7 linked regions of the Coturnix japonica genome follow. The protein of the gene in region 2 interacts with the protein of the main gene of each other region in a pairwise test. Links are inferred from orthologs where the notes say so. Each region holds a gene or a part of one and is shown on either strand. Other genes may lie near its edges. The genes, in order: MFAP1, KIFC3, FAM161A, PRKAA2, HSBP1, ZGPAT and BYSL.

Region 1 (4,093 bases), on a different chromosome or scaffold from region 2:
TGATAACCACACAAAATTGATATCTCAGCTGATGACTGGGAGCGGAGCAGGAGCTGGGCACAGAGCTCTAATTGTCATCGGGACATCAAGGCCAGGAACACCAGGAAGGACTTGCCTACCCCCAAGCACTGCTGCTGCAGGAGCACAAAGCCACCAGTGCCCGAGGCAGCGGGACAACTGCAGCACTGGGGTCTGGCTGCACGCACAGCAGAATCACAGGGACCCTGGAGCGGCCAAAAGCTCTGCCTGGGCCTGCTCAGTGGCAGCTCTTCTCCTGCCACAGCACCAGCAGGGTCAGGCTTACCCAGGAGCTGTTGTGCCCAGGGGACCCACCCTGCCAGCACAAGGGAATGCTGAGGTCAGTCCCCAGGAGCAGGTCTCACTGCCTGGCACCCCCGTGCTGATTTCCCGGAAGATAAAACCTCTTCCCTTCTTTTGGGGAGGCACCGCAGCGCTGCAGACGCGGTTGTGGTGGCTGGTGACCCAGTTTTTCCTGGCTTCAAGAGAAATCTTATCTCCTGTGGTTGGCTGCTACCGCGTGGGCAGCTGCTACGAGTTGGCGCTGGGCTGCTTTCCTGCGAAACCCAACTGGTGTGTGAAGGGCTCTGACGTGAGCAGCAACAGCTGGGGCAGGAAACCTGCCCGCTTCCATGTAGGGGCTGCTCCTGCGGGTAATTCCCTCTGCCCTGGGCCGGTGCTGCGGGAAAGTCCTGGCAGCCAGAGGGCGGGGGACAGCCCGGGGAGAGCCCTGCAGAGCGATGGTAACCGGTAAATTCAGCACCGAGGTACGCCGCGCATTCAGCACGATGGTAACCCGGGCATTCCAAGCACCGATGGGCAACCCGTTTCAGCACCGTGGTAACCCGTATTCAGCACCGATGTAACCCGGTATTCAGCACCGATGGTAACCCGGTATTCAGCACCGATGGTAACCCGGTATTCAGCACCGACACTGAGCGCAGCCTCCAGCCGCAGCCACACGAGCAGCAGGGGCAGGACTCGGCAGCCGGCCCCGGGAATCCCGGGCAGGGACCCGGCGCGGGCCGGGGCTACGTGCGGCCGGCTCCGCAGCACGTCACCACTCCCGAGCCCCGAAGCGATGAGCGGAGAGATCACAGCGGGGCCGATCTGAGCCCTGAGGGGAACCGAGCCCTGAGGGGAACCGCCGCTGCACCGCGACCGGACCGGGCCGAAACCAGCTCCACATCCGGCCACAGGAGCCGGAAATGACCTCCACGCTGAGCGTCACTTCCGGCGGCTTGCGACGGTTCGGCGCGCGTTCACTTCCGGTACGCCGGCGGAAGCGGGAGTTGCAGTTCCGGGTGAGCGGTCGGTCTGTCGGTCTGTCGGTCGGTCGGTGCTGTGAGCGGCTGCGGTTCGTCCCGTCCCGTCCCGCCGCCATGTCGGCCCCCAGCGCTCTCGTGAAGCAGCCGCCCATCCAGTCCACGGCGGGCGCCGTGCCCGTCCGCAATGAGAAGGGTGAGTGCGGGGCGCCGGGAGGGGCGGGGGGCGCGGGCACGGCGGCGGCGTGAATGTTCATGGCATGAATGCACATGGCTGCCCATGGCGCCCTGCTCATGGCCCGGCTGCCCATGGCTGCCCATGGCTGCTCACGGCTGTTCATGGCCCGGCTGCCCATGGCGCCCTGCTCATGGCCCGGCTGCTCATGGCTTCCCGCTGCTGTTCCTCCCGCTGCTGTTCCCCCCCCTCCCGCAGGCGAGCTGTCTATGGAGAAGGTGAAGGTGAAGCGGTACGTGTCGGGGAAGCGGCCCGACTACGCGCCCATGGAATCCTCGGAGGAGGAGGACGAGGAGTTCCAGTTCATCAAGAAGGCGAAGGAGCAGGAGGTGGAGCCCGAGGAGCAGGAGGAGGAGGTCGCCAACGACCCGCGGCTGCGGCGGCTGCAGAACCGCATCACTGAGGACGTGGAGGAGCGGTGAGTGCTCGGCTCCGGGCTCTGCTCCCTCCTCGTGCTCCCCCCCAGCTTTGTGTTTCCGGGCTCCTGAGCACGCAGGGGATGCCTCTTTCCTTCACACGCTTCGTGGTCCCGGGTCTGACTACGGTCTCATTAGAAACAGATCGCAAAGATTTCTCTTCTTTAGTCTCCTTGTGTTCAGAGCTTCGTAGTCGAGTGGACATTTGTTGCAGGCTGGCAAGACACCGCAAAATTGTGGAGCCTGAAGTGGTCGGAGAGAGTGATTCTGAGGTAGAAGGTGAAGCGTGGCGTGTGGAGAGAGAGGACACCAGTGAAGAGGAAGAGGAAGAGATCGATGATGAGGTTCGTTATATTGCTGAGCAGATGTGGCCTGGGAAAGTCCCCTTAGGCCCTGTCTGGAATTCGTGCTTGCAGACACACGTGAACTGTGGTGAGACTGGGTGGATGTTGGGACCTGAGTTAAAGCCAGCTGTGGTGTGACCACAGCCTGTGGGTTATGGGGCACCAGGGAGGTCACCTGCGTTCTGAGGTGTGGGCTTATATAAGCAGTCAACATCATATCATATAAGCTCAACATCATGCTTTTTATATGGAAAAAGGAAGGAAGCGATAGTGGGGCTGGTTGGCTGAGTCTGTGTTTGATGTGTCTCCATTAGGAGATCGAGCGTCGGCGTGGGATGATGCGTCAGAGAGCGCAGGAGAGAAAAACTGAGGAGCTGGAAGTGATGGAGCTGGAAGATGAGGGCAGATCTGGAGAAGAGTCTGAGTCAGAGTCTGAGTACGAGGAGTACACAGACAGCGAGGATGAAATGGAGCCACGTCTCAAACCTGTCTTCATCCGCAAGTAGGTGATAAGGTGATACAGCTGCATGGGCCAAGCACTGCATCAGGGATGGGCAGTGACTGACCTGGTAGGGCATGGCTGGGTACTTCCAACTGGGGACTTTAGGCAGGTACAGCACAACAGAAACCAGGTAGTGTGCTCCAACATGTTCCACAGCCAGTAGCAGGGTCTCCCATCACCTTTGTGCATGTCTGCAGATGTGAGGAGACTGAGTATGGTCGCTCTTGAATGAGCAAAATCAGAAAGGAGAGAGCCTTGGGACTTGGCCCTGCCGTGGGGGGCATAAAGACTAAAAGAGGCTGCAGTGGGAGCAGAGGTCTGCAGTGGCATGTTGAAAGGCTGAAGGCTTTTGTGGTCCCTGCTCACAGGAAGGACCGGATCACAGTTCAGGAGCGAGAAGCAGAAGCCTTGAAGCAGAAGGAGCTAGAACAGGAGGCAAAGAGATTAGCAGAAGAGAGGCGCAAGTACACACTCAAGGTACAGCGGGGCAGACTGGGGCATGCATGTTGGGGCAGCCATTGCAGTGAGCTGAGCTTGGTCTTGGCTTCAGATCGTGGAAGAGGAGGCAAAGAAGGAGCTGGAAGAGAATAAGCGCTCGTTGGCAGCACTTGATGCTCTCGATACAGACGATGAGAATGATGAGGAGGAGTACGAGGCTTGGAAAGTACGTGAGCTGAAGCGCATCAAACGGGATCGTGAAGAACGAGAAGCGTAAGTACTGTCTGCTTAAGGCAGGGGAGGGTCCCTGCAGTCCCAGGCCCTGCAGGACAGCGGGCAGTTGAGGCGTCTCTTTCTCAGTCTTTGTTTTGGCAGCATCAGGAATTTTCTTGAGGTGCTTTACTCCATTATGGAGTCAGTCAACGTATTCGTCAGAAAGTCCCGGGTGGCAGCAGCTGTCCCATCTTGGGAGGGCACTGAGGGATGCAGGGGCTCAGGGTTTCTCTTTTGCCCAGCATGGAGAAAGAGAAGGCAGAGATCGAGCGGATGAGGAACCTGACAGAGGAGGAGCGCCGTGCCGAGCTGCGAGCCAACGGCAAAGTCATCACCAACAAGGCAGTGAAGGGCAAATACAAGTTCCTGCAGAAGTACTACCACCGTGGCGCCTTCTTCATGGTGAGTTCTGCTGCCAGGCCTGGGGCTGCGTGGACCACGTGGCTGTTTTGGGGGAGTTTTCCCTAGTGGTACCCAAGTAAGGGCTGGCCAAGCACACAGGACCAGAGCTGGCCCTCAACAGCAGCGTGCTGCTGAAGTGACTGAGGGGATCTGAGGTGCCTGTCAGGTCTGGCAGGCAGGGTGAGTAAAGACACGAATGC
Region 2 (4,086 bases):
AACAGGGCATGACATGGCACAGGATGGCATAGGATGGTTTGGCATAGCATGGGATGGGGTGGCATGGCATTACATATGATGGCATGGCATGAAATGGAGTGATATAGGATGGCATAAGATGGCATGGAATAGAAGAGCATGACATAGGATGGCATAGCATGGGATGGAATAGCATAGGACAGAATGGCATGGAATGGCATAAGATGGTATGGCATAGGATGGGGTGATATGGCATGGTGTGGAATGGCATAGCATAAAATGGTATGGTATGGGATGACAAGATGGCATGGCATGGAGTGACATGACCTGGGGTGGAATAAGGTGGTATGGCATAGTGTGGCATGGGATAGCATGCTGTGGAATGGCATAGGGTGGCATAGCATAAGATGGCATGGCATGGAATGATATATGATGGCATGGCATAGGATGGCATGACATGGGATCGCACAGGATGGCGAGGCACAGCATGGCAGAATATAGCGTAGCATGGCATGGCACAACATGGGATGGCATAGGATGGCATGACATGGCACGGCTCTGTCCTAGCACAAGGTGGAAGAATGAGCAGCAGCCTGGCGATTGGCTCAGCCCAGATAAGAGGCTCCTTTGTACTGCAGAAATGCTGCTATCACGTGCAGATCTCTCTGCTGCCATGGTTACTGCCTGCTGCAGTGCATGCAGCACAGCGGTGTGACCATGTTGAGCTGGGACATGCAGCATTAGCATGGCTCTGGGTCCTGCTGCAGCACTGGGCAGTGTCCCATCGCTTTTTACACGAAGGCTCTTTTCATTAAAGTGTTTTCCTGTGCGCTAATTACGTTGGTTTTCCTTCTGTAAATGAGCCCGATATGATCTGTGTGTCTTGGCAAACAGCCTCGAGAACAGTAACCAAAGCCTTTTTGTTTGATCGCTGTTTGCTTTGCAAATCTCCCTGCTCTCACCGTTCCTGGCTGCCTTCAGACAGCCTGCACGTGCGGGTTGATGGGAGGGAAATGGGGCTCTGTGTCATTCCTGCTGCAGGAACAGGAAAGGTTTGGGTGTTCCTGAGACCCTGGGGTGGATGGCTGCACTCAGGGAGCAAACGTGCTGCCATCTGAGCACTGTTATCTGCAGAGGGAGAAAAGTCCACCTGTCCACCCATCTAAGAAATAGGTTGTGTCAGCAATTTGCAGGGCTGGGTTTTAATCTGCTCTTAAGGCACCGGCAGACAGGAGCAGAGGAGACGTCGCTTTCTCCTCCACTGCAGACAGAGTTGCTCTGCAGCAGCCGCCCTGGGGGCCCTTTGGGGAGCAGGCAGTGCCATGCATGCGCTGGGTGCTCTGGCTGCACTCTCAGTGCTGGGCTGGACTAAGGACAGCAAATGGAGGAGCGTGGCTCTGCAGAGCACCAGGGGACTGCCAGGAGCGAGGCGGTGGGCAGCAGGGCCCGGCCCCCAGGTGAGAGACATGGGGTGGGAGCGATGGCAGTGAGCTGCAGTGTCCATCCATCGCCATGCAGCTCCAGGTGCGGGTGTAGGGCTGTGCATTATAGATGAGAGCTGTGAATAATGCATGGCAGGGTAAGTTTGCAGGCCGAGCAGTTGGGAGGCGACAGAGCTGTGCCATTGCTCTCCCCTTCCAGAAGGGCACAGCAGCACTGCTCTTCCCACAGAGGCTCCTATGGCTGCGTGTCCCTGTGGGATTCAGCTCTGAGCAGCCAAAGCCACGCACTCAGTGTCCCTTAGTGGCACGGCTGCTGACATCAGCCTCCAAACTCAGTTCCCTAAATTATTCACAATTACTGCTTGAGCGTCTCCTCCAAAACCAAACGTGCTTCCGAGGGCACTAAAAATAGACAGCTTCGCCGAGGACGGGATGCCTTTTTTAAAGGAGACCGCTGCCATCCTTTCTGCCTGTATTTGCACCTCCTGGCTCAGCTCCTGGGGAGAAGGGCAGGGATGGGGCCAGGCCCTGCAGGGACCCTCCAGCTGCACAGCAGGAGAAAAAGACAGGGCTGCTGATGTTGGGTGGGTGAGTGGGGGCAGCTCCGGGTCACCTGAGTGCTGCCCTATCTCAGCATCGCTGCCTGCGGGTTGGGTTAATTCCCACTGTGAACTTGGAAACGAGTACAAATTTCTCAGGAGCACACTAAGACTTAATTAAAACTCGTTAAAGAGCTCAGATGGCAACGAGGGACTGTGGGGTTTCGTTAGCTGCTCCTGTGGGCTCAGCACGGGGATCCCCTCACTGGGGCTCTCAGGGAGGAGTGGAGTTACAGCACTGAGCTGCGTTATCATTAATTGCTCTGTGGGGATGATTCTCGCTCCATCTGATGATCCTCCCGGTGGGAATTTCCTACAGAGAGCACCCAGGTGTGCCCACGCCTGCATTCCTGCCATCAGTTTGCTGGAAGGGAATGGAGGGGGAGGTTAAACTTTGGCCAGGATATCGTATTTTCCCCCCATCTCCCCCGAGGTGTTACAGATGTAGGTTAAATATTTGCTCGGGGCAGAGCAGACTGCAAATGCAAAGGGCCCCCATCGGCACAATCAATGGGGCTTCCCTCCATCCACACTCGTGGGCAAATAGGGGGGAAATGGGAATGAAGCCGCCTGGCTGAGCCGATCCCTCATTGCATACACACGCACAGGAGGTGGCAGCGGGGCTGGCCGCCCTCCTGCTGCTCTCCCAGCGCTCATTGATCCCGGGCCGGCACTCGGATGTCTGCTCCCAGGCTGGCAGCGAGGAGGGATGCTTTGCAGACGGGGAAAGAGCTGCTCTAAAAGGAAGGGCAGAGCCCGCGGCGCCGCGTTGGAACGTGGAGAGAAAGCAAAGGCAGCACGCAGTGAGCTGGGGCTGGAGAGAGGGGGGTGGGGGGGCAGCCCTATTGCTCGCGCAATATGAGGGTGATAGAGGGGCTGCTTCCAATGCGAAAGAGCCCTGAGGGTCGGGATTTCCATGCTCAGCCCCGAGTACCATCCTTAGGATAAACCCCACCGGCCCGGTGGGCACCCAGATCTCCTGGTGCATTGGGGTCCTGCTCTGGGAGCCGTCCATCTCCCCTCACCCATTTAGTCTCTTCTCGATGCAATTGACGCAACGTACGCCCGCTGCATAATTGCAATGCCATCAAAAAACCTGAAGCATTCAAAGGACAGGAAATGACTTAACGCCCAGAGCTATTTGCATAAACATTATTTTGCCCTCACAGCTCGTAAATTAAGGCAGTGACAATACGACATTTAGAGTCGCTGCTGGAATGCTTACAGTCACCTCGTGTCCGCCCGTGTCATCGCTGAACCAGCGGCAGCCGCTGCACGGACACGGGGAGCCCTGCGTGAACACCTACAGCACCCACAGTGGGGCTGAGAGAGACTATATGGGGCTGAGAGGGGCTGTGGGGGCTGGATAAGGCTATGAGGGGCTTTAAGGGGCTGAGAGGGGCAGGTCGGGGCTGTGTGAGGCTATGTACAGCTGAGAGGGGCTATATGGGGCTCTGTAGGACTGAGAGAGGCTGTGTGGGACTACGAGCAGCTGTAAGGGGCTGAGTGGCAGAGTTGGGCTACGTGGGGCTGAGAGTGGCATTGCGGGGCCGTGCATCCCCCAGGCACCGCCGCCCGTCGGGGGTCCCGGGCGTTACCAGGGCAACGAACCGGGGCGGAGCAGCCGGTGCCGACGCCCGGGTGGGCGGGACCGGGGCGGGGAGCGGAGCCGCAGCGGGCGGCCGGTGAGCGGCACCGGGAGGGAACCGGGAGCGGGCGGTACCGGGAGCGGGCGGGGCCGGGCCGGGCCGGGCTTCCCTTTGTGTGCGGGACGGCGGTGGGAGGGACCGGGGTGCGGAGCGGGACCGGCGGACTTTGCGAGGTGCCGAGTCGCTCTCCCTGCGGCAGCCGAGGGGTCGCGGAGCCGGGGACCCCCCGTGCCATGCCGGCAGCCCGCCCGGGCCGGGAGCTGCCCCTGCAGCGTGAGTAGCGCCCAGCTCCGCGGAGGGGCGGGGGGAGGAACCGGCAAGCCCGCATTCTTCGCATTGCTGCGCGGCCGGGGAGCGGGAGCGAGCTGCAGAGCTGCAGGGGCGTGGGGTGCCCTGCGGGTTGCGCGTCCTGCTGCT
Region 3 (2,762 bases), on a different chromosome or scaffold from region 2:
GCCCTAAGGTGACTAACTGCTGCAGTGATGCTCTGTGCCTTTAAATACCTAGAGAGAATTCTTTTGTACCTCTACAGATGCAATTAATTATTTCATGCAGTGAATATGGGACTTAATATGTTCAGTTGTACACCATTGTCAAGTCCTTACACTAAACACGGGGCTTTACTAATACTGGGTTTTCCTAGAAGCAGTAATGCACATTCCTGCACGTGTCAATAGGAAAGGGAAGAACGGCCTCAGTTTGTCAGGATACGCTCTAATCCCTTACAGTGGCACATACCCATTTATACCAAGCCCTTTTTCATCCCCCCTCCCCCCCTCCTCCATTTCTTTTTTAGTATTTCAAATTTCCTTTGCCGAAGCTTCCTTTGAAGTCTCGTGCCTGATTTCAAACAAACTCAGCCTTAGTTTGTTTCTCCACCCAGGAATTCGCATGAGGAAAAGAGAAGGCTGGAAGAACAACAGAAAAGGAACAGGACAAAGCAGAAACAAAGAACAAAGAAACTGCAGAAAATTGTCACGACTCGGGCTGAGGCCAACGACCCCCATCAGAGCCTCGCTCAGACCTCTAAATCCAAACTAAAGGCGTTCAGGTATTTCATTGCATCCCCTGAATCCTGAGCCTCTCTGCAGAAACTCAGAGACAATATGGAAAGAGGTGGGGAAGGCAGAAGAATCTATTATAAGAAACTATACTCAGGCAGGCCCCGTTAGCCTCACTGGACAGGACTTCTCGCTGCTTATCCAAGGACACTACTTCAGAAATAGTTTTGTCCACTGGTATTCCAAACAAGGATGTTCTGGCAGTGAGGCCCTGGCACAGTTGCCCAGAGAAGCTGTGGTGCCCCATCGCTGGAGGTGCTCAAGGCCAGGTTGGATGGACCCTGGGCAGCCTGAGCTGGTGGGGGCAGCCCTGCCCACAGCTGGGGGTTGGGGCTGGGTGGGCTTTAAGGCCCCTTCCAAATCATTTTATCATTCCATGAAGTTGAGGAGGTAAACCTAATTCCACTGTAAGACAGTAAAACCTTATGCTTTTTTTAACCAGGGACCATGCTTGTCATGGAGCAATTGGAAGGAAGTACTTCTTGTGTTACAGACAATTGACTTCTGTTGCACTGTGTTTCCTTTAGGAACTCCGCCAAGCAGAGAATGCAGGAGTATTTGCAAGAGTTACAAGAGATGGAAGAAAGAGTAAAGCAAAGGCCATTGCTCTTGGAAAGAGTAACACAGGTTGCCTTGTTTGTCTGTTTCTTAGACTCATCTCCAGTTAAGTGTGTAGGGAACTTTTAGTCAAACACTGTTAAAAGTTACATGAAGTTATTTAGACAAGTTTTTGTCCATTTTAATTTCTACTGCTCCATCTCCCTACAAATCACTTTTCTGTGACCAAGCATTCATGGTGCGTTTGCGCAGGGAAATGAGATGTTTTAAAGACATCCAGTGGTTCAGTTATAACACACACAGCACTGAGTCGAACACATTTACAGCAAAAGATGAGAGGTTTAATCTGGGAGAATACTAGGAGATCTCAAGCATTCCCCATGTCTACTGTAAAGCTGAGATGCAGAATTTTCACCCCTCTGTCTCAGTAAAACAAAGCATTGGTAGCACAGTCCCCGACTGCTTTTGGAATAGAGAGGCAGCAAGGCATAGACAGCCCATTCCTCCCAGTTCTCTCATCCCTCCCAGGTGGGTTTCCTGGCCCAGCAGTGCTGCAGGGCAGAGCATGCATGAAGGCTGGGGACAAGGCCTCCTCACCCAGCTGTCACTTGGAGGAGCAGAGCTTACACAGCTTGACAGAGAGATTCAGATTTGCACAGCACATCAAAACAGCACTGTGAGAGAGTAAAGCAATGTCATGTTTCAGAGCAGCAGCTCCCCCAGAGAGAAGCAGCCCTAGGAAGAACACAGCTGATGTTTCAGGTCTGTACCTTCTCCCCGCTCCCTCAATAGCATTACACAGTATTTACAGCGCTTTGTTACCCGGCGGATGTAGGGAGCAAATTGCATTTGAACCAGTACAGAAAAGGGAGGAAGATCTGCTATAAAGTTCTCAAGTAGTTTTGCCATTCTTAGCTGTAGTGAATAATCGAACTTAACTTCTCACGTGCAAATAATGAAACAGTATTAATATAAGCAAAAGTATCTGAAGACGGGCATTTAGCTCATACTTCACCCTTGTGTTTTTCCTACAGAATAATGCCAGAATAGCTGCAGAAAAATATTATTCTAACAGACTGAGAGCTCTGGGGGTGTGCCCAGACTTGGTTTCCAAGAAAGGACAAACAACTAAATTGCAAGAGTACTGCAGTGCTGAAGATTTTGATGCCAAAGAAAGGTAGAGATCACAGAAGGGTTTTGGTTTTGCTGCTGTGTACCGAGTAGTAATGAGAGCCATTTTTAATGCTGAGAAAATCATTTGCAGTACTTCCAAGTAAATATTGCAGCGTGTGTGGTTGTTTTGCCTGAATTGTTTCCTGAGTCAGAGAAGGGCTCTGGGTATGTTATACACCATGCACTTCAAAGAACAATTCAGGGTAATATTTTCAGTCTGGTTCTTTAACCGTGATTTCTGGAAGGCTGCTGAGAAGTCATTTCATTCTGCATCACCTTCACTTTTATTTCTGTTTTTTAAAATAAGCCTTATTTAAGGCTTCTCAATATCCATTTGCTGTTATGACAGAAAGGAAATGGAAAAGCCAAATATATAAGCAGTACTGTTACTTTCTAGCGTAAAAGCAGAGTCCAGCCTTCCCTCT
Region 4 (4,078 bases), on a different chromosome or scaffold from region 2:
AACGTTTCCCTTTGCTCACAGTCTCCAACCCAGCACACATTGGTGGGACAAGAAGCACTGGGAGGTCCCATGGGCTTAGCCAGGGCAAACCCAACTTTGCCACATGGAACAGGGAAAGGATGCACATGCTCCTCTGTGCTAATGGCACTGTCCTGTGCTGGTACCCAGGCTGGGCAGTGATGATGTCAGGTGGAGATGAGAAATCCTGCTCCTTCCTTCCCACTCACTGCCTAGATTAAAGCCTGAGGGGAGGAGGGAGGGCTGAGTGGCAGTATTAGAAAAGGGATTTGAGCATGTGTCTTGTCTTCTAGTGACAAGTACTCCAGTCAGCTTCCCCGCAGCTTAGAATCAGCAAACTCAGCTCCATTGGGGCAGGCAGAGGGGATGGATTTGACAGTGACTTGAAAGCACTGAGCATTGAACAGAGCCTGTAAACTCCAAAAACTGGCACCAAAGCAGACGTGGTGTGAGCATCCTTAGCTGTGACTGCATCTGTTTATGCATGGGACTGCCTGCATTACTCCAGAACTGGAGGCTGCTGGAGAAAGAAGGGAAGAGATATAATAGGATGAGTTTCTAACAGGAGACCCTCCATGTTTTATTATTTTTATAAGAGAGGAGAAAAAAGATGAGAGATTTATCCTACAGTAAGCTGAGATAGCCATTGAAGTCCTCTGGCAGATGGCTCAAAACCAAGTATCAGCTCATCCCCACAATGCCTACTGACCATGTCCCTCAGTGTCACATCTACCCTGTGTGTTTGGTGCAGCTCAGGAAGCATGGGCAGCTCAGCTTTTCACAAATGCTTTGCAAGGATTAGAAGAAGTTTAGGAAAGGGAAAGCAAAATCCTTCCCTATCAGCTGTGCTGGTCCTTAGCTTAGCCTGAAGTTACAAATGAAATCAATCCAAAGCATATATTTAGCAATGACATATTTGTTCTGTCCCAGTGCCACTTGCTCAGATGCTGTATCACCTTTCCTTTCCTCTTTCTTTCATCTGTTCAGCCTCTTTCAGTTGATCATCCCTCAGTGCAATGTTTGTCTTTCAGCAACAAATGTATAATGGGAATTGACCCCTACTTGAGGCTGAGTAATGGAGATAAACATAACCCAAGAACTGCTCATGGTGCAATGGCCGTGACTGGGATAGAGCTCTTTGTGGGGTGGGATATGCCTGGTGCACTCACAGCACTGATGTGTCCCACTTGCTCCTTCCCACTTCCAGAGGGAGAGATAACATCCTTTCCCTCATTGTTTCATAGAATCATAGAATGGCTTAGATTGGAAGGGACCTTAAAGATTATCTACTTCTACCTCCCTCTGCCATAGGCTGGTTGCCATCTATTAGATCAGTCTGCCCAGGGCCCCCATCCAACTTGGCCTTGGCCACCTCCAGGGATGGGGCATCTGCAATAAGAAACATGCTGCTGATGGCACCACCAAAACTATCATATACAACAAACACACAGCGTGAAGCAATCAGGAAGAGAAGTCTCCTCTCCCATGTTTCCTGCCAAACATGATGAGCACACCTGAAAGCTCATTAGGTTAAAACAGTGCTATTCTGCATTGCTCCAGTCAAACTCTAACTGGAGTTAAAGGGGGAAAATATACACGTAGAAAAGCTGCTAAGCCACAATGGATGGAGTTTGGAAATCTTTTTATGTTATTTTATATGTCCTTTGGAAGTCTGTTCTTAACCAATTGGGTGATATATGGTGTTGGGGGGGAAGGGGGGGAGATATTCACGCTACTCCTGAAGGGTCCTTAAGGAAATCAGGTTGTTGTTAGCAGGCTTCATTTGGTCTGCAAGAAAAAAGAAATCACCTTTGGGGCACTTTTTGAGGTCTGTTGGTACACAGGAGCGATTTGAATGGTCCTTTCTTTTAGAAGTGTTTATCCTGATAATTCTTTGGTTGGTAAATTCGTGGTTTGGGATTAAACATAGCAATATATTTTTAGGGGGCTGATTAATGGCCACAGGTGGATTTAGCTGCAGTGGTTAAGGTGTTTTCTCTGCCCTGCTGTCAATCTGGGGTTATTTAGATACGTGGGCAGGGGACAGCTGAGCAGGATGGGGTTCCACTCTGCCCCCAGCACCCAGACCTGCTGTCTGCTGGGAATCACAGCTCCTCACTCTGCTTGTATCACACGTTTGTGTAGAGGTGTTTTGTTCTTTTGTTTTTGTGGGGCTTGTTAATATCATGACTCGGGGGGAAAACGTGCACATAACGGTAGAACTGAAAGGAATAGAAATCTTTGCATCGGGAAAAGCAAAGCCAGTGCCTGGCTTGAGTGCGAGAACCATCAACCAGAGACATCCATCCCCGCGTGGCTCCATCGCTGACACCCCCACCCCAAAATGGGTGGGGGCAGCAGCGGAACCTCCTCACCCCCCACCTCCCAGGACCGAAGCGTTCTTCAAACAGCAGCGGAAAGTCACCGGCACCCGCCCCCCCGCATCACCTTCCTGCCGCCGAGGGAGGAAAGTTTCGGTGGGTGCTGCCCTGGGGATCATCCTCAAGAGCTGCCCAGGACGCCCTCACCCCCTCGCCCTGGGAAGGGGTCACATCCTCCCTCCCCACCGCCGCGCCCCGCGGATGATGCTCGGCACGGAACGGGTTCCCCCCGCCCTCCTCTCCCCTCCCCTCAGCCCTCGGTACTCAACCCTTGACTTTGCCGAAGGTGCCGACCCCCAACGTATCCCCCAGCACGTAGTGGCCGATCTTCACCCTCCCGTCGTGCTTCTGCTGCTTCTCGGCCATCTTCGCCCCCCGGCGGAGGACCACAATGCGCAGGGCCGGCACGGTATAGCACGACACAGCTCGGGTCGGCACGGCTCGGATCGGATCGGGCGTGCGCAGCGGGGAGCGGCGGGCCGGGCCGTGTAGGGTGCACGGGGGCGGGGATGGGGGCAGCTAATGGGGATAGGGATGGGGATGGGGGCACCTCCCCGGGAAGCACCCGCTGTAGGGTGACGGTGGCCCCAGTGTTTGGCACCTGCTTGGGAGTGACACTGAGCGCTTTTGGGGTGGAGCCTCCGAGGAGGGACGCTGCCCCTAGGGTGTACCCTGCATTGGGGTGAGGACGTTGCCCTTGGGGTGCCCCCGCCTTCTGGGGTGTGGGGTCTGTATGGGGGTGGAGAAGGTGGCAGCCTCCTGGGGGTGCTATCTGGTCATAGGGTGCACCCCCTGATGATGCCCCAAGATTGGGGTGTACCTGTTCAGAGGATGTCAAACCTGCCTGGGAGTGCACTCATTTGGGGATGCCACACATACCCGGGGATGTCCTCCTGTTGGCACACCTTCCATGGGCTGATCCTCCCTCATGGCGTAGCTTGGGGTTATACACAGCTTATGGCGACACTTTGCATGGGATGACCCCTGGGAGGGCAATTGCATCCAGTTCATAAGATACAGGGATGCTGCTTGGGCTGGGAGATGGGCAGGTGGAAGGGAGGTGGCAATGTGGGTGCCTCCTTGCTGCCCTTAGCCCTGAACTGCAGGCGGGGAGAGATGGAGACGCTGTGCATGTGGGTAAGCAGATGTGTGTGGTTGTTTTGGGGTGATGGTGGTGCCCACTGTTTGCAGCTGTAGGGATGTGGTGGTGGCTGAATGTTTGCACTTGGCAAAGCGGCAACAGGAGCCCCACGGGTCTGTAGCTGTGGTAGTACAAGGGAACAAAACAGATTCACAGGGAAGAAAACATGAACACATCAGTAGTGCAGCCAGCTGAAACCATCTCCACACCCTGGCAGTGCTGTCAGCTGCTGCTTCTCATGGGCTAACAGCTCATCCTAATGATGGAATTATCCATTCCTTTGCATTCCAGCCACGGGACAGCCCACAGTCTGTTGCTGTAATGTTGTAAATTAGATAATAACACGGCTTTGTTAAGTGGGCTGATTCTTCTTGCTGTAGTTTCTGTCTCATTAGAAATGAAAAAAAAAAAAAGAAAAGCAAACCTGTCCTGAAGGAAACACCCATTCAGCAGCCCCAGCTCTCTCCTGTAATGAATATTTCCCATTTTACTTGTTAAGACAGCTGTAACCCCAAAAGAAAGGCAATCCACACTCTAA
Region 5 (3,458 bases), about 13 Mb from region 2:
CTGGAAGTGACATGCTCAAGTGGTGCAGGGGAAGGTATGACACTGCTGTCCCACATCCTTTGGTGGTCTGCAACAGCTGAAGGGCAGCTCAGCCTGAGCCTGCAGCACTGCCTGCTGTGTGACTCACATCAGCACTTGGGAGCCGAGACATCTCCTCTTCAGTGTGCATTAACAGACCAGGTATGACAGCCTTACCAAAGCAGTAGCTTATGTCGCTCAGAGAACGGTCATAAAAACAACTGCCTTTTGTAAACACATCCAACAAACAAATGGGAGTTAATTTCTTAGCCTTTCTCAGAACTAGAAGCCATATTTACATTTAAACAGACAACATTTCCCCAAACTGGCACTAAATTGCATTTTTTATGACTACTGCAGTGTTTCCAAAGGCGCATTGATAATGCAAATGCCCTGCATCTCACATTTGTTAGCAGTTATGGGATAAGGCTGAACGTGCCAGCGGATCGCTTCAACTAGAAATGAGGCATTGGGGAATTATCCCCTACTAATGGGAAACGTTCTTCATTTACCAACGCACCTCTGGTGTTTCTGTTGACTTGAGTTTGTTTAGATCTTGTTGCAGTACATAATAACGAAGCTGTGTAAACATCCATTCCCTTCACAGATGAAAACTACGGATGCGGGGCTTGGGTTGAAAAGCCCATAAATCTGCATTTAGGAAACGCTGCTCCCTGATGTGAAAATCGAGTGTATGAAGCTTTGCAGTCCCTTAAGGACCGTATCACTGATCTGTGGCAGATATGCATCCAACCTAATGCATTCAGTGCTGTTATTTGCTCTTCCTTTCATGAAGGCAATACGCTGCAATAAAGCACCATCTCCAGCCACCAACCTGTGCAGCAGCCCTTATTGTAGCTTCTAAGCCCTGTTCTGAACACAGACAAAATGCAGGCTCATTCCCTTTCATATTAAAGGCTGGAAAAGGTGAATGCTGCCTCACACTGCACCACCTGATGCCACAAAACATGCTCGTGCCCAACTTGCAAAGTTACCTTTAAAGAGCATCAGAAAAGCACTATATCTCAGCATGTGGGAAGCTTTTACGCTAAGCATAATGTTACGGTTAAGCTTAATGGGAAATAAGGGCACTGTACTGCCTTACAACACAGACCTGCTCACAGCCCAGTGCTGCCTACAGGATGGTGATGGAAAGCAACGAGGGCCGGTCAAAGCAGAGTGAACTGCCTTAAGTGAAGGCTGAGTTTGGATATTAGGTGCTGCTCCTGCTCCTCCAAACCGAATAACACTGAGAGACTAAAGCAGCCGCCATGACCGCAAACTCCTCCTCCCTCGCGAGAGCTCTAAGCCGGAAACCTCGAGGCGTGGCCCGGAAGCTCCGTTGCTGTGTAGGCCGGGGTGAACCGAGCTGCTGCTGAGGCCATGGCGGACACGGACCCCAAGACCGTGCAGGATCTCACGGCTGTGGTGAGCGCTGTGTCCCCGGGGAGGGTGTTGGAGGAGCCCTTAGCCTCGTTACATCACCGTTAGTAGGAGGGTGTGGGTGAGGACGGGGCTGTGGGGGTAGAGAAGAGGCCTGGGCTGTTCAGTGGGAGCAGCTGCGTTTGTCTGTCTGCGTTTATTATCTCTCCCCTATAACTTTTCATTCTGTATGTACATATAAATATAACGCGTTGGGGGTTGTGCTGTGAGGCTGCTGTGTGTGTTCATAGCACTACGAACATCGTGATGAGTTCTGTAATGAATGCAATCAGCCTGCTGTGTTTTCTCCCCTTCTCTCAGGTGCAGACGCTGCTTCAGCAGATGCAGGATAAATTTCAGACCATGTCTGACCAAATAATTGGACGGAATATCCTTTTCTAAAGCCAAATGGCTGCTTTGAATGCTCAAGTGGCTTAACATATCTCTGTGGGATTTGTAAGGTACATTTAAAGCGGCCATAAAAGTTTGAGCAGTGCCATGATTGCAACCAAACAACACTAAGAACCTGATCACTACATTGTAGTCATAGTCCTTAACCAGAGAACTCGATGACATGAGCTGCCGCATAGATGACCTGGAGAAAAACATAGCGGATCTGATGACACAAGCAGGAGTGGAAGAACTGGAAGGAGAGAACAAAGCCCCCGCTACCACTAACAAGAGTTAAGGTGAGACAGTTGGCCTCAGGTCACTTGAAATTACTGACTTTAAAAGGCAAAAATGTATTTTTTTATCTGTGAGATAGGCTGAAATTCCTTATAATACAAGAATCTTATGAAGCTTTCTTCACCAGATGAGGGCAATGCAAGATTGCCAAGAATATTCCAGCAGAAGCAGGGGCTGTGTGTTACAATGTATGAGCAGGGATGTTTTGTTTTGGTTCAATACAGAACTTAATTTTCCTCATCCATAGAAAGCAATGGGCAAATGAACACATGTGATAGTAGAGAACCCTTTTTTAAGGGTGTTAAATGAGAGATGTCTCAGCCCCTTGTGTCTGAAATTCAGAGGTCACATCTAAAGCACTGTGTAGCCTGTTTGAAACAGGCATACTTGCATGTTAAGTGATGTATATTTTGAGTGCTTAGACCAAAAAAAATACAAGTTGTTATGGGCTTCCTTGCCCATCAGTGCCAATTTCCTCAGCTTGAAACTCACAAATGAAAACTTCTGATCAATGTGTTTCTTAAATTCTTCTCAATCATATTCTTGTTATGTTTCCCCCCCCCACAGGTTGCCAATAACTTAAGGTGAATGCTGGAAGACTTTGGTGGTTTTTTTTTTCTACAAGCCCTTGGAATAAACAGAAGAGCTTTTCGCAATTACTGTGTGTAAAAGCATTTTTATATTGTTACAGAGCTTGCATTCTTAATGTATATTGTATAGCTAGGGATAGGTTAGTTTCTATTTCAATTTGTGTACTGTAATTTCACCTCTCAAATTCTTGTTATGAGGATCAATTAGTTGTTATTAAAACACAGATCTTATGGATCTCAATTATCGGGTGCATTTTTTTTTGTGAGGTCACTTTTTTCCCTCTTATACTTTTTCTAGACGTCTCATTTTTGATATCTAAACAGCCAGTGACTGCTGTCCAATGGAGATCTTGAGTTGTCCTATGTAATTTTGTGGAGTGAAGCACAAGTTTGAAATCTAGTATTAATCTTAGGTCCAAGCATCATTCTCTCAAGTAGTGGATGACTGCATTGTTTTCTCCTCATAAATGTAAGTAAGGTGATTTTTGGAAACATAAGACATTGAATATCAAAATCATATCTCATGTTGATATCACCATACCTGTGTGTTCCTAGAGTGTAAAACAAATACGTGTTTAACAGTAGAGACATCTGTACAGAGCAAAGCTACCACTGCCATTCTGATCTGTTAGAGAGACAAAGAATTCTCAGTTACAGAAAGTCTCATCATGAGATTCTGGCTTTTGTAACACTGTAAAAACTACACTTTGAAACTGACAGAGTGTCATTTAGGAGCATCTT
Region 6 (3,805 bases), on a different chromosome or scaffold from region 2:
AGCTGCTGAACAATTCTGTGGTGGGAGCAGTACATTGTATTACATCAAGAAGGGTTTTCATGCTCTTGAAGGTTTTGCAAATCAGCTTTGTGTCTGTGTGTCACCGGTTTGTCTTTTCTGTGTTACAGTGATAGATTCTGGGGTTCCAGAGAATGGAGAATGGGTTCCTGCATGCAGTTCCTCTTTCGGTGGCTGGGAAGCCCACACTCGTGGCATTGGCTCCAAACTGCTCGTTCAGATGGGATATGAGTTTGGAAAAGGTAAGGAAAGAGGGTTATCATGGTGGTGTGAGAGCCTGCCTGCATTGCAGTCTCAGTCTTGTGATGCATCCTAAGGCTAGGTAAGAAGACCAAGATTTTGGACGAGGCAAAAACTTTGCTGAAGGGCCTGTTAGATAAGGCTTGAGGTATGTGATGAATCACCCCTGGGTGGAAATGTTGGTAGGCAAGAAGAGAACTATTTAATCGAAGTACAGCCGCATGTGTGCACCAGCTCTTGTATGGTAACAGCAAAAGTTTGGAGGCATTTAAAACCATGGTCAGGTTAATGATTAAAGCTGTGAGAACTGTTGAATGAGCTGTTCAAAGGCTTTAGGTAGGTAGAAAGGAACTGATTTATGAAGCTTGTGATGTCTGTATTAAAGCATCTCCTGGCTCTAGACGTGGACTTCAAAGCCTGCTAAACTAGCTTCTTACTACACAAATTGGATGGAGCCTTGGGGGCTTTGGGAGGCCAGTTTGCTACTTGATTTATCTCGGATTCTCCCAGAGGAACCAAACCAGTTTTAAGAAGAACCTTCCTTGAGAAGCCAAGGATGTGAAACTGAACCTTGTCTTACAGAAACTGACCTGGTTATTGGCCTTGGGCTTTTTATCACTTATATTCTGCTTGAGGAAGGCTCCTGTTGTCGATTTACATAGATGAGCTGCAGCTTTTGGCTGTTTCCCTTGATTTGGATGGTAGTTACGACATTTTGCACGTCCAAAGCCTGCTTGCTTGTTCTAAGCTTGTCACTGTCAGTGTGAGTTTGTGGTGGGATCTGACTTGGAGAGGGGATGTCCTTCCTCTTGGTAATGGCTTGGTGACTCTTATGGCTTTTCCCTCTCAGGGCTTGGGAAGAATTCTGATGGCCGAGTGGAGCCGGTGCAGGCGGTGGTACTTCCTCGAGGGAAGTCCCTTGACCAGTGTGCTGAGGTGCTTCAGAGAAAGAAACAGGGGAGGTTGGACCCTGGCAATTCAAAGAAATCCCGAGCAAAGGGAAATAACACTGGGAGGTCCCCTGCAGGCAGCCGCAAGCCACCCCGCAATGTGTTTGACTTTCTGAATGAGAAACTGAGAGGGAAGAACACAGGAGAGAAGGTTGGAGGTATGACACTGCCGGAAAGGAAAAGCAAAGAGATCTACCATGCCAGCAAGAGCACCAAGAAGGCCCTGAGTGTCCGCCTCTTCCAGACAATGGAAAAGATTGAACAAACACAGAAGGATATAAGAGGAATCCAGCAGGCCCTGGCACGCAATATTGGGCGGTACGAAAAACTTCTCTTTTGGGCTGTGGGATAAACTGAGGATTCTTGGTGCACTTGGGAAGGTGTGGGCTTGAAATTAGGTGTGGGAGGAAGGAAGGAAACTATTGTGCATGACCTGGGGAGAAGTAGAGGGAGAGAGCCTTTAACGTGTGCTTCAGCCCAGCTTGGACACTGGCAGGTGTGTCTGAGGTCCTTTGGGTGGAATTCAGGCTGTGTTAAAGAGAGGAGCTCTCTCAGGAGAAGTCCCATAGTCCTTTCCTTCCCATACCCATCTCTGAAGTGCTGCTGCTGAGCAGCACTGGAGGATGTTTCCTAGCCCAGACTGTGCCGAGCATCAGGTACTTCCTGCCTTCAACAGGTGCCTTGGGCTGATCCCATAGAAAAGGGAAGACCCTCTTAGGATGGTGACAGACCTCTGATCTTAACCATGCAGGATGACACATTGCTATGATGCTTTTTGCTTTCAGGCACAGCGTTGCTGCCGCTCAGCTGGAGGAGAAGCTGGCTAATGCACACAAACAGCTGGGGCAGCTGCAGGCCCAGGAAGCCAGTCTGCAGCGGGAGCAGAAGAAAGCAGACACACATAAGAAGATGACTGAATTCTAGTCTCTGAGGAAGGTGTTTGACTGCCATGGTTATCCTTCTAGCTAACTCTTGTGCTCATGGCCTCAAAGCCTGGATGAGCTGTCCTGCTTCTCTGGGCCTCAGGCTGCACTCCCAGCCCAAAAACTGGGCTGAAAAGCAGCAGTTCCTGAAACCAGATGCTTCTGAGCTCTGCTGGGAAGAGGAGGAGCCCACATCTGTCCAGTCTTGAACTTTGTGTAAGGACTAGCTACAAGAAATACAGTTCTCTGCTATCTTGCACACTTCTTTCCTCTCATCTCTGCAGTAGCCAGAGTGTGTAGCTGCTCAGATGATAACGTTGCTGGCTACGAACAGGATGAGGAGGGCCTTTGAAAGCCCCACATCCTGCCATCGGTTGTGGCTTGTGTTTGCAGCCAACTGATGAACACAAGTGGAGGCAGGGTCCCAGGCACGTTTTGGCAGAGCAGAAAAGGCATATGTTAGTTGAGAACAACAAAGGCAAATTGCTTCAGCTGCTCTCTACACCTTCTGTCGTTTGCTATGGGGAGAACTCTTAGATAAGGAGCAGTTTCTCATAAACCTTGTGTAATGCATAGACAGAAAACTGGCAGCTCAGGGCTGGGTATTAGGGGCCTCAAGCATCATATTTCTTCAATTTCAGTGTAAGAGTATCCCTAAGACATGCTATAGCCTAACTGATCGACTTGGCATGGGAAGCTGTGTGGTTCTGTGAGTGCCAAAGCTGGGGGAGTAAGACAGCAGAGTAACAGATTCTCAAACCTCCTCGCTAGGAACAACACTACAGAGAACCTTGGGCTTCTGTCCTTACTTGAGATTTTCAGTCCCATATGGCTCTCTGAATGCCCATCCTTTATTAAGAAACTTCAGGACCCAGTCTCAGGTCAGACTGAGCACGAGGACTGGGAGGTGTGTGTGTGTGTGTGTGTGCTGAGCACACAGCCCTGCCTGGGAGCAGGCCAGGCGAGGTGCCCTTCCCTGCTGCATGGTCAGTGCTCTCACAGGAGGGATGTCCTCTCCCCAAGGTTGTATTCCCTGTTGGCTGCAGTTGGCCGTTACCCCAGAGGAGAGCTGGTGATTTCCTCAGCCTCTCTTTCCGGTGGGATTTATTCATTGTAATTGTGTTGGTTTTTTAAAAAAAACAGTCATCATAAATTGTTAGTGATTTCAAGCCAGGACACGTTTTTTTCTTAATTAAAGAAAAAAAAAAAAAACCGAAACCCAAATCAATTTCCTTTTATTCTGAGTCATTTTCTGTCTCATGGAAAGCTTTGCTCCCTTCATGCCACCTTTTTATCTGCTTCTGAGAAGATTCTGAAGCCGTCAGCTTGGGCAGAACTGCATCACCCTGTGGGGGCCCGGCCTGTCTGATTCACTGCCGAGCTAACCAGAAAACCTACGGCTGAAGGAGATACCATCAGAGCCCAGATGTGATTTAGCACTACTGCAGACGCCCTTCGGAAAACAAAGAGCAACGGCGAAGATAAGCGAGATTAATACAGTCAGGAAGCCTGTCAGAGTGCCTGGTTCCTCCTGGAAAGCAATGGGATTCTGCTGTGAAAGGTGCTGTGGGCTGCCTCGAGTGCGACGCATCCGTCTGTTTGTAACTCATTTGGCTGAAGTCTCTTCATTGTTGGGAATTGGTGTTCTCTGTGCGCTGGGTTTGACTCAGGGCT
Region 7 (4,277 bases), on a different chromosome or scaffold from region 2:
CGACAAACTTCTCTCCCAAGAGTCGCTGTTAACAGCCTGTGTGGCCACGACATCTCTCAGATGTGTGATGATAAAGCCTTGGGATTTAAGGACTTGCGGTTCCAGACCAGGGATTATGTACTAATGGACACCCAGAAAACAACCTACTAAACCAAAGCAGAAGCAGCCGGACTGCCAGGAAAATCTGGTCCTGGACTCAAGCTTAGGGTAAAACAAGCTTCTCTTTAACCCCAGCTCAGCAGCAGCTCGCACCACTACATCTGTGTTTATTCTTATGAAGCAAAACCAAGGCATTTCTCAATCCCATCCCTGTTAGCTCGGAACACCTGCCTGGGTAGATGCGCCATCATTATTAATTACAGACCAGTTAATAGGATTTGTGTGTTTAGGGAAACACATGCTCAGATTTTACAAGACCTTTCAGCACCTCATCTCAGATCTGGGGCAGCACTGACAGCACAGAGCTCTGTGACCAGGAGAAAGCAGCTTTAGAGCCAAAGCTGCAGCAGGAGGGCATTGAATGCATTAATACAACCTGCCAGCAACGAGTAACACAGATGATACATGGAAGGGATGGGGACTCAAGGTTTCTAGCCAAGCCTCCAACATGGGATTTCCCTGCCCTGGATTTCATACCCTTAAAGGTGATTCTCACCTCCACGGATATCCCGCGGGCGCTGGGGCCCATGGTGACGGTTCCCACCTTGACCAGGAAGTCGCAGTACTGGTACCGCGTGCCCCGGCTCTCGATCTTGTTTGCCTTGGCGTTCTGGAAGAATCCCTTCAGCTTCACCATCAACGTGTCGAAGTTGGCGTCCGCGATCAGGCAGGGCCCGTTTTCAAACAGAGCGAAGCAGCTGAGGGGATACTCGGAGTTGTGCATCACGTACATCAGTTTGCCCGTCTGCCCTGAAAGAAAAGCAGCGTTTGGCCCGTTCCTTTGACACCCACCCTTTAAACATTCGTATGGGTTGATAAGCGCCCCCAGCCCCTCTCAGCCTTCTCCTCTCCATGCTGACCAGCCCAGCAGATGCCCCATGTCCGCACTACACCCGCCCCCCCCGGGTTCCCACCTTGGCTGCTGATGGCGGCTGCCGTGTGATACGTCTCACAGTCCACCCCGAACGCTCCGTGTTTCTCGGCTCCCAGCAGCTCCAGCTTCTTGCTCAGCAGCTCCACGGTTTGCTGCACGCTCTTACCCTCCAACACGGGCACCTGCGTCACGCTGCGGGGCGACAAACAGCAAAAATGGCCGCGGGGCCTCCACAAAACCCAAACCCAAACCCAGCCCCAACCCCATCACCCCATCACCCCATCCATCACCCCATCCATCACCCCATCCATCACCCCATCCCCACCGGCCCCTCACCAGGTCACCCCCATGGCTCCGTCCCGGCAGTGGCGGTGCCGGTACCGGAAGGGGCGGGGCTGGCCGTGCTGGCGCCGGCGCGTCTGATCGCGTGTCGCTGTTGCGGCCATGCCGAAGGCGGCGCGTGTGGCGGAGCCGCTGCACGAGCAGATCCTGCGGGCTGCGGCCCCCACGGTGCGGAACCGGCGGGCGCGGGACGCGGGGCGCGATGCGGAGGAACGGGACGGCGGATACGTGGGGCCGCGGTTGTCCCGGCGCATCCTGCGGGAGGCCCGGAGGCAGCAGGAGGAGCTGGAGGCCGAGCACGGCCCCGGGGCGCCCGCACCGACAGCCCCGAGCGGGCGCGGGTCGGAGGAGGACGATGAGGACGAGGAGTGGCCGTCACTGCAGCGGGCGGCGGAGTGGGACGGGACGGGCGGCGGGGGGGACGTGCAGGTGGATCCCGAGGACGAGAAGGCCCTGGAGATGTTCATGAACCGCGCGGCGCCGCTCAGGTACCGGAGGAGGGGTGGGAATGGGCGGGGGGTGGACGGGGAGCTCCGGTTCCCCATCACCGACCCCTGCCGCCCCCCCAGGCGGACGCTGGCGGATGTGATCATGGAGAAGATCACGGAGAAGCAGACGGAGGTGCAGACGGCGCTGTCCGAGCTGTCGGGCCGCCCCATGCCCCAGCTCGACCCCCGCGTGATAGAGGTGTACAGAGGCGTCAGAGAGGTGAGGGCACTGCGGCCCCCCCGGCCCCACACACACCTTTGTGGGACCCCCCAGCTCCCGGCGGAGCAGTGCAGACAGCACTGCTGTGTCCCTCGGGTGTTGTGAGCACATACGTGCTGTGTGAGCACACGCAGTGGAGCTGCACAGGGAGCAGACAGGTTGCTTACAGCCTTGAGACAAACCCTTCCCCCTCTGCTTCCATTGAAGGTGCTGTCCAAATACAGGAGTGGGAAGCTCCCCAAGGCATTTAAAATCATTCCTGCCCTGTCCAACTGGGAGCAGATCCTCTACATCACGGAGCCCGAGACGTGGACGGCAGCAGCGATGTACCAGGCCACGAGGTGGGACCAGCTCAGTGTGCTCTGAGCTGTTGTTTTCTCCTTGTAATGGAACGAGATGGACAAAATACCATCGTGTGTCCTACAGCTGCTCCTCCTGCCCTGTGCCTGTGGAGCAGAGGGGATCCTGATGCTGGGGGTGGATGGCTCTGGAGTCACAGCTCACTCTTCATGCTTTGCATTTCACAGGATATTTTCATCCAACCTGAAGGAGAGGATGGCCCAGAGGTTCTACAACCTGGTGCTGCTGCCACGGGTCAGAGATGATATCGCTGAGTATAAGCGCCTCAACTTCCACCTCTACATGGCTTTGAAGAAGGCTCTGTTCAAGCCAGGAGCCTGGTTCAAAGGTAGGGGCTCCCTGCAGGGCTGCACTCCACCCCTGGGAACCTGCTGCAGGGCAGGGCAGGGGGAGGAAGGTGGAAAGGTGCCCATGATGCAGAGATGTTATTTCCTTGGGTTAAATGTGCCCTGAGAGAGCAGAGATTGAGCCTCACACCCCACAGCTCTGCCTGCTGCAATGACCAGTGGTGCCCAGCTCTTCTCTCCCCACAGGGATCCTCATCCCCCTGTGTGAATCGGGGACCTGCACACTGCGGGAGGCCATTATCATCGGCAGCATCCTCACCAAGTGCTCCATCCCTGTCCTGCACTCCAGGTAATGCACTGGGGCAGTCACTGCCCCTCAGCCCATCCAACAGCTCAGAGTGGGGGAGCTTTGCTCAGGGCTGATTCAAAGCCGTCCTTTTTGTGCCCTGCCCTCACCTGCTGCTCCCCTTGTCCCCACAGTGCAGCCATGCTGAAGATTGCTGAGATGCCATATAACGGTGCCAACAGTATCTTCCTGCGGCTGCTCATCGACAAGAAGTACGCGCTGCCGTTCCGTGTGGTGGATGCCCTGGTCTTCCATTTCTTGGCCTTCCGCACAGACCAGCGCACGCTGCCCGTGCTGTGGCACCAGAGCTTCCTGGCTCTTGCCCAGCGCTACAAGGAGGACCTGTCCTCGGAGCAGAAGGAAGCTCTGCTCGAGCTGCTCAAGTTCCACAGCCACCCACAGATCTCAGCCGAGATCCGCAGGGAGCTGGTGAACTCCAAGACACGGGACGTGGAGGGGCAGGAGCCGGCAGTGATGGAGTGAGGGGAGGAAGGAAGGAAGCACCACAGCCTGGCCTGGCTCCTGGGGGCTGCTGCACAGCTGGGAGCAGCACGTCCAGGGGTCTGGGAGCATCCAGCCCTGGGATCCCACTGCTCATGGTGCTGTAACCACGGGGCTGGGCTGGGCTCCCTGCGCTGCTTGTGTCAGGGCAGCCCTACAGCCCTGGCACCCAGGACAGCAGTAGGGCTTGTCCTGCTCCTGTTCTGGAAAATAAAGCCCGTGCTGGGTCCTTCCTGGAGCAGCTCTGACCTGCAGTTGCATCTTTGTGTGGCTGCATCCGTGCATCGTCCTGCCCTGTCCCCCTCCCCTCGTCCTGTCCCCAGCAGGGGGCAGAGCAAAGCCACCAACAGCGGCTCCTTGCAGCACTGCGCTGCAGCTGTCCCGGCTGCAAAAGGAGACCAGGGGCTGTGCAACTCCCTGCCCTCCTTGTGCTCTGGTCAGCAGCGAGCACGTTCCCAACTGTGCTGTGCATTAAGCAGCCTCTGTGATGTTGGGCAGAGGGGCTGGGGTTAAACATCTTCCTGTGAGAGGTGGGGGCAAGGGGCAAGGCCATAACCCACACGTGGCAGCTGCCTTGAAGTGCCACCTCTGCTGTAAAATCCAGCGGGGCATCGCACAAGGCTCCGCGCTTACCTGGGTGCTCACCTGGACACTACAGCTCCTGCAGATGTCCAGCTCCTGTCCTTGCTCCTGGAAGCAT

The links.
Region 1: the proteins of KIFC3 (region 2) and MFAP1 interact in binary tests that used the Homo sapiens proteins (3 or more experiments, as listed by UniProt). The two-hybrid records come from large-scale screens. The link is inferred for Coturnix japonica from reciprocal best matches to the Homo sapiens genes KIFC3 and MFAP1.
Region 3: the proteins of KIFC3 (region 2) and FAM161A interact in binary tests that used the Homo sapiens proteins (3 or more experiments, as listed by UniProt). The link is inferred for Coturnix japonica from reciprocal best matches to the Homo sapiens genes KIFC3 and FAM161A.
Region 4: the proteins of KIFC3 (region 2) and PRKAA2 interact in binary tests that used the Homo sapiens proteins (3 or more experiments, as listed by UniProt). The two-hybrid records come from large-scale screens. The link is inferred for Coturnix japonica from reciprocal best matches to the Homo sapiens genes KIFC3 and PRKAA2.
Region 5: the proteins of KIFC3 (region 2) and HSBP1 interact in binary tests that used the Homo sapiens proteins (3 or more experiments, as listed by UniProt). The two-hybrid records come from large-scale screens. The link is inferred for Coturnix japonica from reciprocal best matches to the Homo sapiens genes KIFC3 and HSBP1.
Region 6: the proteins of KIFC3 (region 2) and ZGPAT interact in binary tests that used the Homo sapiens proteins (3 or more experiments, as listed by UniProt). The two-hybrid records come from large-scale screens. The link is inferred for Coturnix japonica from reciprocal best matches to the Homo sapiens genes KIFC3 and ZGPAT.
Region 7: the proteins of KIFC3 (region 2) and BYSL interact in binary tests that used the Homo sapiens proteins (3 or more experiments, as listed by UniProt). The link is inferred for Coturnix japonica from reciprocal best matches to the Homo sapiens genes KIFC3 and BYSL.

Annotation. Positions count from the first base shown.
Region 1 is NC_029525.1:18,263,697-18,267,789, forward strand, and holds the start of MFAP1 (microfibrillar-associated protein 1), read left to right. Parts: upstream 1-1,293; 5' UTR 1,294-1,400; coding exon 1,401-1,479; intron 1,480-1,716; coding exon 1,717-1,936; intron 1,937-2,148; coding exon 2,149-2,278; intron 2,279-2,592; coding exon 2,593-2,780; intron 2,781-3,148; coding exon 3,149-3,257; intron 3,258-3,330; coding exon 3,331-3,491; intron 3,492-3,733; coding exon 3,734-3,893; intron 3,894-4,093. UniProt on the Homo sapiens protein: Involved in pre-mRNA splicing as a component of the spliceosome.
Region 2 is NC_029526.1:1,981,525-1,985,610, reverse strand, and holds the start of KIFC3 (kinesin-like protein KIFC3), read left to right. Parts: upstream 1-1,286; 5' UTR 1,287-1,301; coding exon 1,302-1,436; intron 1,437-2,742; exon of another isoform or gene 2,743-2,823; intron 2,824-3,640; exon of another isoform or gene 3,641-3,705; intron 3,706-3,748; exon of another isoform or gene 3,749-3,942; intron 3,943-4,086. UniProt on the Homo sapiens protein: Minus-end microtubule-dependent motor protein. Involved in apically targeted transport. Required for zonula adherens maintenance.
Region 3 is NC_029518.1:13,371,497-13,374,258, forward strand, and holds part of FAM161A (protein FAM161A), read left to right. Parts: coding exon 1-8; intron 9-428; coding exon 429-596; intron 597-1,133; coding exon 1,134-1,233; intron 1,234-2,198; coding exon 2,199-2,341; intron 2,342-2,762. UniProt on the Homo sapiens protein: Involved in ciliogenesis.
Region 4 is NC_029523.1:23,036,259-23,040,336, reverse strand, and holds the start of PRKAA2 (5'-AMP-activated protein kinase catalytic subunit alpha-2), read right to left. Parts: upstream 2,801-4,078; 5' UTR 2,766-2,800; coding exon 2,669-2,765; intron 2,496-2,668; exon of another isoform or gene 1,753-2,495; intron 1-1,752. UniProt on the Homo sapiens protein: Catalytic subunit of AMP-activated protein kinase (AMPK), an energy sensor protein kinase that plays a key role in regulating cellular energy metabolism.
Region 5 is NC_029526.1:14,758,421-14,761,878, reverse strand, and holds HSBP1 (heat shock factor-binding protein 1), read left to right. Parts: upstream 1-1,310; 5' UTR 1,311-1,401; coding exon 1,402-1,446; intron 1,447-1,761; coding exon 1,762-1,828; intron 1,829-2,006; coding exon 2,007-2,128; 3' UTR 2,129-2,129; intron 2,130-2,694; 3' UTR 2,695-2,958; downstream 2,959-3,458. UniProt on the Homo sapiens protein: Negative regulator of the heat shock response. Negatively affects HSF1 DNA-binding activity. May have a role in the suppression of the activation of the stress response during the aging process.
Region 6 is NC_029535.1:9,388,222-9,392,026, forward strand, and holds the end of ZGPAT (zinc finger CCCH-type with G patch domain-containing protein), read left to right. Parts: intron 1-128; coding exon 129-260; intron 261-1,108; coding exon 1,109-1,526; intron 1,527-1,993; coding exon 1,994-2,132; 3' UTR 2,133-3,305; downstream 3,306-3,805. UniProt on the Homo sapiens protein: Transcription repressor that specifically binds the 5'-GGAG[GA]A[GA]A-3' consensus sequence. Represses transcription by recruiting the chromatin multiprotein complex NuRD to target promoters.
Region 7 is NC_029541.1:4,735,579-4,739,855, forward strand, and holds BYSL (bystin), read left to right. Parts: upstream 1-1,477; coding exon 1,478-1,863; intron 1,864-1,944; coding exon 1,945-2,083; intron 2,084-2,290; coding exon 2,291-2,424; intron 2,425-2,610; coding exon 2,611-2,771; intron 2,772-2,976; coding exon 2,977-3,079; intron 3,080-3,210; coding exon 3,211-3,559; 3' UTR 3,560-3,825; downstream 3,826-4,277. Other genes in the region: MED20 (mediator of RNA polymerase II transcription subunit 20), read right to left, coding at 656-909, 1,074-1,225, 1,370-1,479. UniProt on the Homo sapiens protein: Required for processing of 20S pre-rRNA precursor and biogenesis of 40S ribosomal subunits. May be required for trophinin-dependent regulation of cell adhesion during implantation of human embryos.